Coturnix japonica: one gene and its partner. Each later gene encodes a partner of the first gene's protein in a complex. Links are inferred from orthologs where the notes say so. Each region holds a gene or a part of one and is shown on either strand. Other genes may lie near its edges.

The links.
Region 2: the proteins of LLGL1 (region 1) and PRKCI are in contact, whole or in part, in a cryo-EM structure (PDB 8R3Y), measured with the Homo sapiens proteins. The link is inferred for Coturnix japonica from reciprocal best matches to the Homo sapiens genes LLGL1 and PRKCI. Residues at the interface, in NP_004131.4 of Homo sapiens: Ala315, Asp319, Glu367, His391, Ser392, Ala394, Thr396, Glu453, Cys483, Glu484, His485, Phe506, Asp507, Pro508, Tyr509, Ser510, Asp511, Pro513, Gln518, Lys519, Lys569, Ala600, Val601, Thr602, Leu644, Gly648, Pro649, Leu650, Ser651, Arg652; in NP_002731.4 of Homo sapiens: Asp339, Met341, Gln345, Arg348, Leu381, Asp382, Met399, Thr412, Phe413, Cys414, Pro417, Leu425, Glu445, Gly449, Arg450, Ser451, Gly457, Ser458, Ser459, Asp460, Asn461, Pro462, Asp463, Asn465, Thr466, Glu467, Asp468, Tyr469, Leu470, Phe471.

The regions. Positions count from the first base shown.
Region 1 is NC_029529.1:5,074,300-5,078,647, reverse strand, and holds the start of LLGL1 (lethal(2) giant larvae protein homolog 1), read right to left. Parts: upstream 3,002-4,348; 5' UTR 2,800-3,001; coding exon 2,719-2,799; intron 925-2,718; coding exon 827-924; intron 1-826. UniProt on the Homo sapiens protein: Cortical cytoskeleton protein found in a complex involved in maintaining cell polarity and epithelial integrity. Involved in the regulation of mitotic spindle orientation, proliferation, differentiation and tissue organization of neuroepithelial cells.
Region 2 is NC_029524.1:17,526,879-17,530,686, forward strand, and holds part of PRKCI (protein kinase C iota type), read right to left. Parts: intron 3,704-3,808; coding exon 3,568-3,703; intron 3,148-3,567; coding exon 3,060-3,147; intron 1,898-3,059; coding exon 1,772-1,897; intron 1,676-1,771; coding exon 1,596-1,675; intron 769-1,595; coding exon 679-768; intron 410-678; coding exon 294-409; intron 1-293.

The DNA of each region.
Region 1 (4,348 bases):
GGGGCACGGCGATGGCACCCAGCGCTGCTCACCAACCCACGGCACAACACCAAAGGGCTCCCAGTGGAACTCAACACACCATCCCTAAAACACGCTGATGGGCAATAAGCACTAGGGCTATGCAGCACACAGCAGTGCAGTACTATAAGGGGACCAAGTGCCAGGACCCCCTGGTTGCTGAGGAGACACAGATTGCTGGGGGTGGAGATGGTCCCCCAGCATCCTACCCAGAACCAGAACCAGCACAGACATGGCCAGGATGGCACCAGGACAGGATCGGAGCAGCCCTGGCACTAAAATGCCATCTTCAAGCCAGGAACGCAGCAAGCTGATGGAGGCAGGGAAGCCGGGGCAGCTCTGCCCTCCAAAAACAAAATTATTTAAAAAGAAAAAAGAAAGAAAAAAGAATCCCGTGTGGGATGCAGCCTCCCAGTGCCCCCCCCCACATTCCTGCAGTGCGGGGGCCCCGATGTGGCCACATCCAGCCCTGGCTGCCCGCCAGCAGCACAGCGGAGTCTCCCCGCTCACAACAAAGCACAGCCGCAGCATCCCGGGATGGGAGCATCCATCCCATCCACCCCATCCCATCCCATCCCGCTCCCGGGTTTTGGTTGGGTTTGTTTTCCTCCCCCAAATCACCGCTCCAGGCTCACAGTTCGGGACAAGGCAGCCGTTCTGCTCCAGCCCCCGGCGCTCCCCCCCCAGCTCAGCACAGCTGCAGCCCAGCTGGACGGATGGACGGACACCGCCAGGACGTGGCTGGGGGCTGCGCTGCCCCCCCTCAGTGTTTTGTTTTTTGGAGGGGGGGGTTGTTAGGAAAGGATACAGCTTAACAGCTCCTGCCTTGGTGCCGATGGCCATCACACGCAGCCGGGGGTCGTAGGCCAGGGCGCTGGGCTGGCTGGGGAAGCCATGCTCCACTGTCTGTGGGGACAGAGGGGTCAGAGCAGAGTCCCCACAAATCCCAAGCCCTCCATGCAGGAGGGGCAGCATTAACAGTGCCCAGCAGGGTGGCACTGAGCTGCCTCAGCCCTGGCCCTGCAACGCATTGAGGATGCCACAGCAGCACCAGGAGCTGCCTCAGGGATTTACACCCCAAAACCGACCGAGCCACCCCAAACGACACCAAAGGACCAGGGCTGCCCTAACCTTAAAGAGGTGAACCCCACCACCTAAAGGCACGGGGACAGCCCCATCCACAGCAGCACCCTGAGGAGCACATGGGGGTTCCCAGCGGTGCCACACAGAACCAGGCAAGTGGGACCACACTGAGCCCCCGTGGGCACCTTCCCAAGGAAGTCCATGATGGTGTGCCCAAACTCGCTGCTCCAGGAGGGGCTGGGCAGCATTTGGGGAGGGGGGCGGGGGAGGGACATCCACCACCTTCACAGCAGGGAGCACTCCCAGGGGCTGCAACATCAAAATGCACCGGGGTGACACCTCCTGATTGTGCCAAGAGCTGCTCTGCGGTGTCACCCGGCAGCAGGGACCACCACGTCCCCTTGCAGGAGGGTTCTGCAACGCCCTCAGTCTGAGGACAAGTTTGGGTGCCGGTCCCCATCACCCACACAGCACCTCAAAGGCTCTGCAGGATGTACGCCTGGCTCCAGGATGCTGAAAGCCAAAGGGGGGCAGGGGGTGGCACCATAGGGACACTCTGAGCTCAGTGTTCAGATGGGGTCTGACGGGACCACCCCACAAGAGCCCCATAAACACCCTCACTGCAGGACAGCCACCCCACAAGCCTCTGCCTGCAGCCCTAATGCTACAGGGGATGATGGCAGCTCGAGGATCCAGGGATGGTGGCTGTGGGGATGCCCATGGAGCTGGGGGTGGTGACTGAGCACCCAGTCCCCTCGCAGCCCCCTCCTCCCACCAGAAGCGGGGCTGTATCCGGCAGCAGGCCGCTCCGCACGGCCAAGGAGCACTGGGCCAAATTACAGCAAATGTGAGGCAGATTTGGAGCTCACAAGGAAGGAAAAAAAAACAACAAAACCCAAGACCTTAATGGGAGGCAGGTGGGCAGGCAGCGTCCCGGGGCGCTCACAGCTTCCGCAGCAACCCCCAACCCCAGGGCGGGGGGGGGGAGGCAACTGGGTCTGGTGGTGGGACCCCAAAAGTGGGATGGGCTGAGGTGAGGGGTGAGACCCTGCTGTAGGTTTGGGGCACCCCAAAACGTTGGGGAGCAATGAGGGGGGGTGAATACCGCGTCCAAGGTGACAATGTTTTCCTGCTCGGTGTCCCCAGGAGTCGGGGACGTCCCAGCACTGCAGGATGGAGGGATGGAGGGATGGAAGGATCCCGTAGAGAGCGGGCACCGAGCAGCACCGGGGGTGACACCGGACTGCAGCGCTATGAAGCGGCCGCAGAACCCCCCGGTCCATAGCAGCAGCACGGGGGTCACACTCGGGATCGCAGTGTGTGCGGGGGTCCCCAAAGCTCAGTACAGCCCCCACGGGTGCCGGTACCGGGCGCTGCCGCCCAGTTGGGGTCTCGGTGTGTGTGGGGGCGATGTATGACCCCATACACACACATGTATGACCCCATACACATACACACACACACACACACACACCCGGTGTCCCGCGGTCCCACACTGCTCGGCTCCCGCTGCCCGGTTCCCCCCGTGCCGCCCCCACCCCCCGGTGGTCCCTGATCGCTCTCAGCGCTGTTGGCCGCCGGTCCCGCCCCCCGTCGCCCCCCGGTCCCGTCGCTCACCTTGCTGAAGGCGAACAGGTCGTGGCGGATCCGCTCTCGGTTCGGCTCTGCGCCCTGCCGCCGGAACCGAAACTTCATCATGGTGGGGCCGGCGGGGCTCGGCTCGGTACCAGGAGGCGGCGGGCGGGGTGGGTTGTCCCGGGGCAGACGCTCCCGCTGCCGGCGGTGCCGCTCCCGGTGCTGGTTCCGTTCCGCTGCCGGTCCCGGTCCCGGTGCTGCCGCCCCCCCCCCGCTCCGAGCGCCGAGCGCCGCGCGCCGAGCCCCGGGCAGGCACCGCCGCGGCGGGGCGGGCCGTGTCCCTGACTGACAGCTCGCTCCGCCAATCAGCGCTGGGCTGCACGCACGGCGCGGCGGCGCCCTCCTATCCGCGCTGCGCATGCTCCGTCGCTGTGGGGGGTGTTGGGAGTTGTAGTTCATCCGTCAGGCTTCACCACACGGAGCGGACTAGGCCGCAGCGCTGTGTAAGGCCCTGACCCCCCCACACACAGCGACACAAGGCGGCACAGCGATGCTTTCTGCTTTTATTCAATTAATGCAGCGATCTATACAAGAAAAAAAATATATATATCATCATCATCATCATCATAACAACGAAAACCATGAAATTCCAAACCCTGACAAAGTGAAGAACTAAAATTCTTCCTAAAGAATCAAAACCGGAATTTTAAAAGTATCCCCCTGCGTCGGACTGTACATAAAATAATCTCTGCCCCATTTACAGCGTCTCACTCACACACGACTCCTCGTATCTTCATACTTCAGAACTGTACAACTTTGTTACAAAGCCACGTTTTTTCCTAGGAAAAGCTGACAGGAAAAAAACAAAAATATTGCCACTTTCTTTTGTATTTTTTTTTAATTTTTATTTTTTTTTAATTATTATTATTTGTAACCAAAAAAAACAAAACAAAAAATTAGAATCTTATAAAATAAAAGTCAGCTAGAATTGGTTTAATGTGAGCAGGGGGGGCAGGAAGGAGCAGAGATGCGTTTCTCGGCTCAGCATTTCTCCTCCTCGCCAGGTAAAGGTAAAGGAAGGTGGTTGGCAGACAATAGTTTGCCTCTAGATGGGGGCCCAGACCCCATGGCCACGCTCTGAGCCCCCTCCAGGCCATCCCCAGCCATGGGGTTGGGTTGGGACATCTCTGAAGCCAGCACGAGTGGCAAACAGCCCTGGGTTTTGTTCCAGAGGATGAGTGGAGCCTACACAACCAACAGCAGAGCCTTGGTTGGCTCTCAGTCTTCTCAACACGCAGGTAAAGGCAGCAAACCCCAATTCGTCCCTTTGCAGAACAGCAGGAACAACTTCCATCTACCTCCCCCCCTCCTTAAGAAAGACAGTTCTCTTGGTCTGGGCTGTGGGTCCGAGTGCTCGTGGGGTCATCACATTGTACACAGCCTTACGCCCCAGGATGGGTGTGCAGGTTACAGACAGCACACAGCAGGTGGATGGGGAGGAAATGGGACTGCATTGCTGAACTATATGAAGACAAAGAAGCCGACCTGGTCAGGCCTGCACGTGAGCCCACCTCCACACCAGACTCACAGCTCTGGGCTGATGGCAGCCTTCACACAGCCACAACAGAGAACAGATATGGGCAGCAGCAGTGTATTGAGCCACAGTTTTACC
Region 2 (3,808 bases), on another chromosome or scaffold:
TACTGAAATAAACCATGCATCAAAAACAGATTTTTTCCTTCACACGTTCATTCCTTGCAAGTGATACCACTAACATCGTAAAATAACACTTAATCATCCTTCTCCAAACTAGGATTCTTACCCACTGATCACAGATTTTGTTACCTCATGACTCAGCACTATAGTTAACCCATCCATACCAAGCCTACAAGGAGGAGACAACAGACTTTCTGTACTAAGAATACAACCAGCTGATGAATTTGTCTAACTCCTTCAATGCTTTATCAAAACATCTTAATTTTTACATTACTTACTCATCATCTGGAGTGAGCTGCACAGGTTCATTGGTGAACTGGGAATCAAAGTTATCCAGACCAAATTCGCCAGATATATTTGGTTTAAATGGAGGCACCACTTGCTTTTGCTCCATCTAAGAACAAACACACTTAGTGACATCAAGAAAGAGTTATGACCCACAGAATTATATTTAAATAAGGCCAAAAGTTACTCTCAAATTCATTCCATATTCTCTCTAAAATACTCCACTGTACTCAGTGCATGTCAAAGAGGTTCTGTATTAAGACTGTAGTAAGCCAGTTAAGGGCTTAAGGTTTTATGAAGCTTTGTGGCATCTCTCACAATCAGAAGTTGCCACATCACCGCTGTACACAAAGCAGAGTCCAGCAGGCATTCACATACCAGATCCCAATCAACGTTGCGAAAAAATGGATGTCCCTGGATATCTGCAAATCCTGTCTGAGGGTGGCAGCCCAACCGCTCCTTTGGGTCCTGTGTAAGAAAGTATTTCTAAATGAGAGCCACAGCCTACGTATGAATAAAAGCATTGTTCCAAATTCTGTGAGAAATCATGAATTATCAGGAGTTCTGTTACGAGGTGCACTGAAGAACAAAGTTCGTGTTATTTATTTTGAAAAACGTTTCAATTTACAGAATATACAGAAGTCCAAACTTGAATAATATATAAACAACCACCCCATCTTCACTTATTTTTATTCAAATGGGTTTAAACATTTTGAAGCAAGTGAATTTGATTCTTCCCCTCAACAGGCAGCTTGCCTATCCAAGTTGTTTTGAGACAGTAACTGCAAGCTACTGATACATACAGCTGAAAGATTATTTTAACACTTCTCTCCACTAGGAGGCTGTAACACAATGCTCTCAGTAGAAGCAGAAAGAAGGAAATGAGTCGACTTTAAGAGGACAGCTCTGACAAGTCCCTTATTCAAGGGAAAGAGCTTCTCTGGTTGTTTATAGATGTCATACTACCACAACTAAGTTACTAACAATGTAAACGTCTTTAGGTACCCAGATAATGTGCTAAGCCTGTTCAGTTTTCCAAGCTAAAGAAATTATTTAGAACATTTCTAAGCCTTTTAGTTTGAAATTCACTTCCAGCTCCACAGCAATAATCTAAAGCTACAGATTCAAAGACAAATATTTTAAATAAGTTTCCCAGCCTTGCTAAAATGTTACAGGATTACACCTTCTGTACCCTCTTTCTGTGCACAGCAGCTAAGGTAGATCTGCTACACATCAATTAGTCCACAACAAAACAGCCACTCTGGAGAAGTCAAATCCTCTGTTTCAGTTCTTACCTTATTAAGGAAACTCTTTAGAACACCTGCGGCTTTAACAGAAAGGGATCGGGGAATTCGGATCTGCTTTTCCAAAATTACTGCAAGAAACCAGCGTTTATATCAGCTTTCACATCTTTAAACATAGCTTAAAGGTAAACAAAGTACTGAAGTATCTGAACACTCATGGTACTTACCTTGAAAAAGGTAGTCTTCTGTGTTCTGATCAGGATTGTCAGAACTTCCAACAATATCAAATGGAGACCTTCCTGCCATCATTTCAAACATCAATACACCGAGTGCCCACCAGTCTACACTGAAGCCTGGAATTCATAAGAGAAAATACTGATAAAGAATTTTGAGAGCAGAAAAAAAAAAGTCTTGCTGTAGTCCTAAAAATGTTTAGAGAATACTTTTAAACGAATTATCGATAGTGTGATTATCTAGTTTTCTATTGACTAGTTAATAAAAGAGAGGTAACAGCAGTAAACAGACATTACGTGGTTTGTTATGTGAAGGATAGGAGGAAATTCTGTACAAAGAGGAAATGCAAAACCTTTAAAGGGTGACGTCATAGCCTTAACAAAGTCTTAGATTACACATAGGCTTAGTCATTGCTAACCAACAGTCTGTTAACTGGGGAAGGACAAGAAGGAAGTACATGATTCTTAACAGTAGCAAGACAGTTCTTAGTCTATTATGCAGTGCTAAAGAAAAGAATTCCAGCAACTTAGGCTGAGACTGTTTATTGTATAAAACTTGTGAAAGGAAGGATGGACAGACAGATTTAATGTTAAGCCAGACAGAAACATTCAGTTAAGTTAGTGTATGTGCACTTCTACCTCTATTGGTATTTGGTTGTTATTTTGGTTTTGTTTTTTGTTGTTTTCTTTTTTAGTTGGAAATAATTATGGAACATTTACAAATCTTGAGGGAAGAACGCAGACCAAAGATCTGCTTCACACACTACTGGAAGTTAAGGAAGAAAGGATAAGCAGAAGAAACATACACAATAAACTGTACTCTTATCCCGCGTTTCAGGAGCCTTGTGGACTTCAACATGCATTTGCATGGACATTTTCAGTTTTTAAACACCAAAATTTGTGAAAGGGACATTCATTACCTAAGCCCTTTGTAATACATGTATTATATCACTACTGCCAAATACAAAGCTCCAAAAGTGAACACAAGGCAAGCAAGGGTATCTTTAAGAGTATATAAAACAGTTATAAACTATAATGAACTTAGAAGACCCATGCTACTCTTTAAGCTTGTTAAAAACAAGATAAGAGTGCAGAAGGTGGGATATCTGATTTGTTTGTTGTGATACTTTCAGCCTTCCCTTTGAAGGGTCCATTCACACCATGTTATCTTGGATGGGTCACAAGTCTAACAGAATTCCACTGCTAAACAACTTGAGCAAGAAGCTGAGATAACTGAAAGTTACATGGTAGACACATGGTAGCAGTGAAAAGTTTGAATTACCATAATCTTCTCCTCGAAGAATTTCAGGAGCAATATAGTTTGGAGTTCCACAGAACGTGCTTGTTGTATCGCCAGGCCTCAGCCCTTCCTAAACAAACAAACACCACCACTGTCAAAACAAGCTGTGTGTAACTCTCTCCCACCACATACTTTCTAAAACTTTTACTTGCCTCCTTTCAATCACAAAACAAAAAACCCTCTAAATTCCAGGCTGGGACATATTATTTGCTACACAAAAGCAGGTTGCAGTTAACATCTCATGAGGATGGCTTGTACCCACTGACAACAGTTCTTTAACCTTTCAGCTGGTCAACTCCATAATATCTCCAGTAACAGGAAACTGGGAATAACTGAGAAGTTGTGGAATGGTTCACATGCATAAAGAAATGCTCAGAAGTTTCACCTTTTTGAGTCTCTGCTTCTTTTAATTGACAATTAATCTCTGCTTCTTTAAAATGACAATTTCTTAATTGTTGCTTTTACTACTTAGGAAGGAACTACAGCTTACCTTGCACATGCCATAATCTGTGAGTTTAATATGTCCTTCAGAATCTAACAGCACATTGTCTAGTTTTAAATCTCTGTAGATTATGCCTCTTTCATGTAAATAATTCAATGCAAGGCTGATTTCAGCAGAATAAAACCTAGAACAGCAAGATATACTGATTACCCCAGCAGTCAAATAAACTCATAAAAAAAACAAGACACTCCAGATCACAAGAACAGCCTTGGTGGTACAATACTTTTTA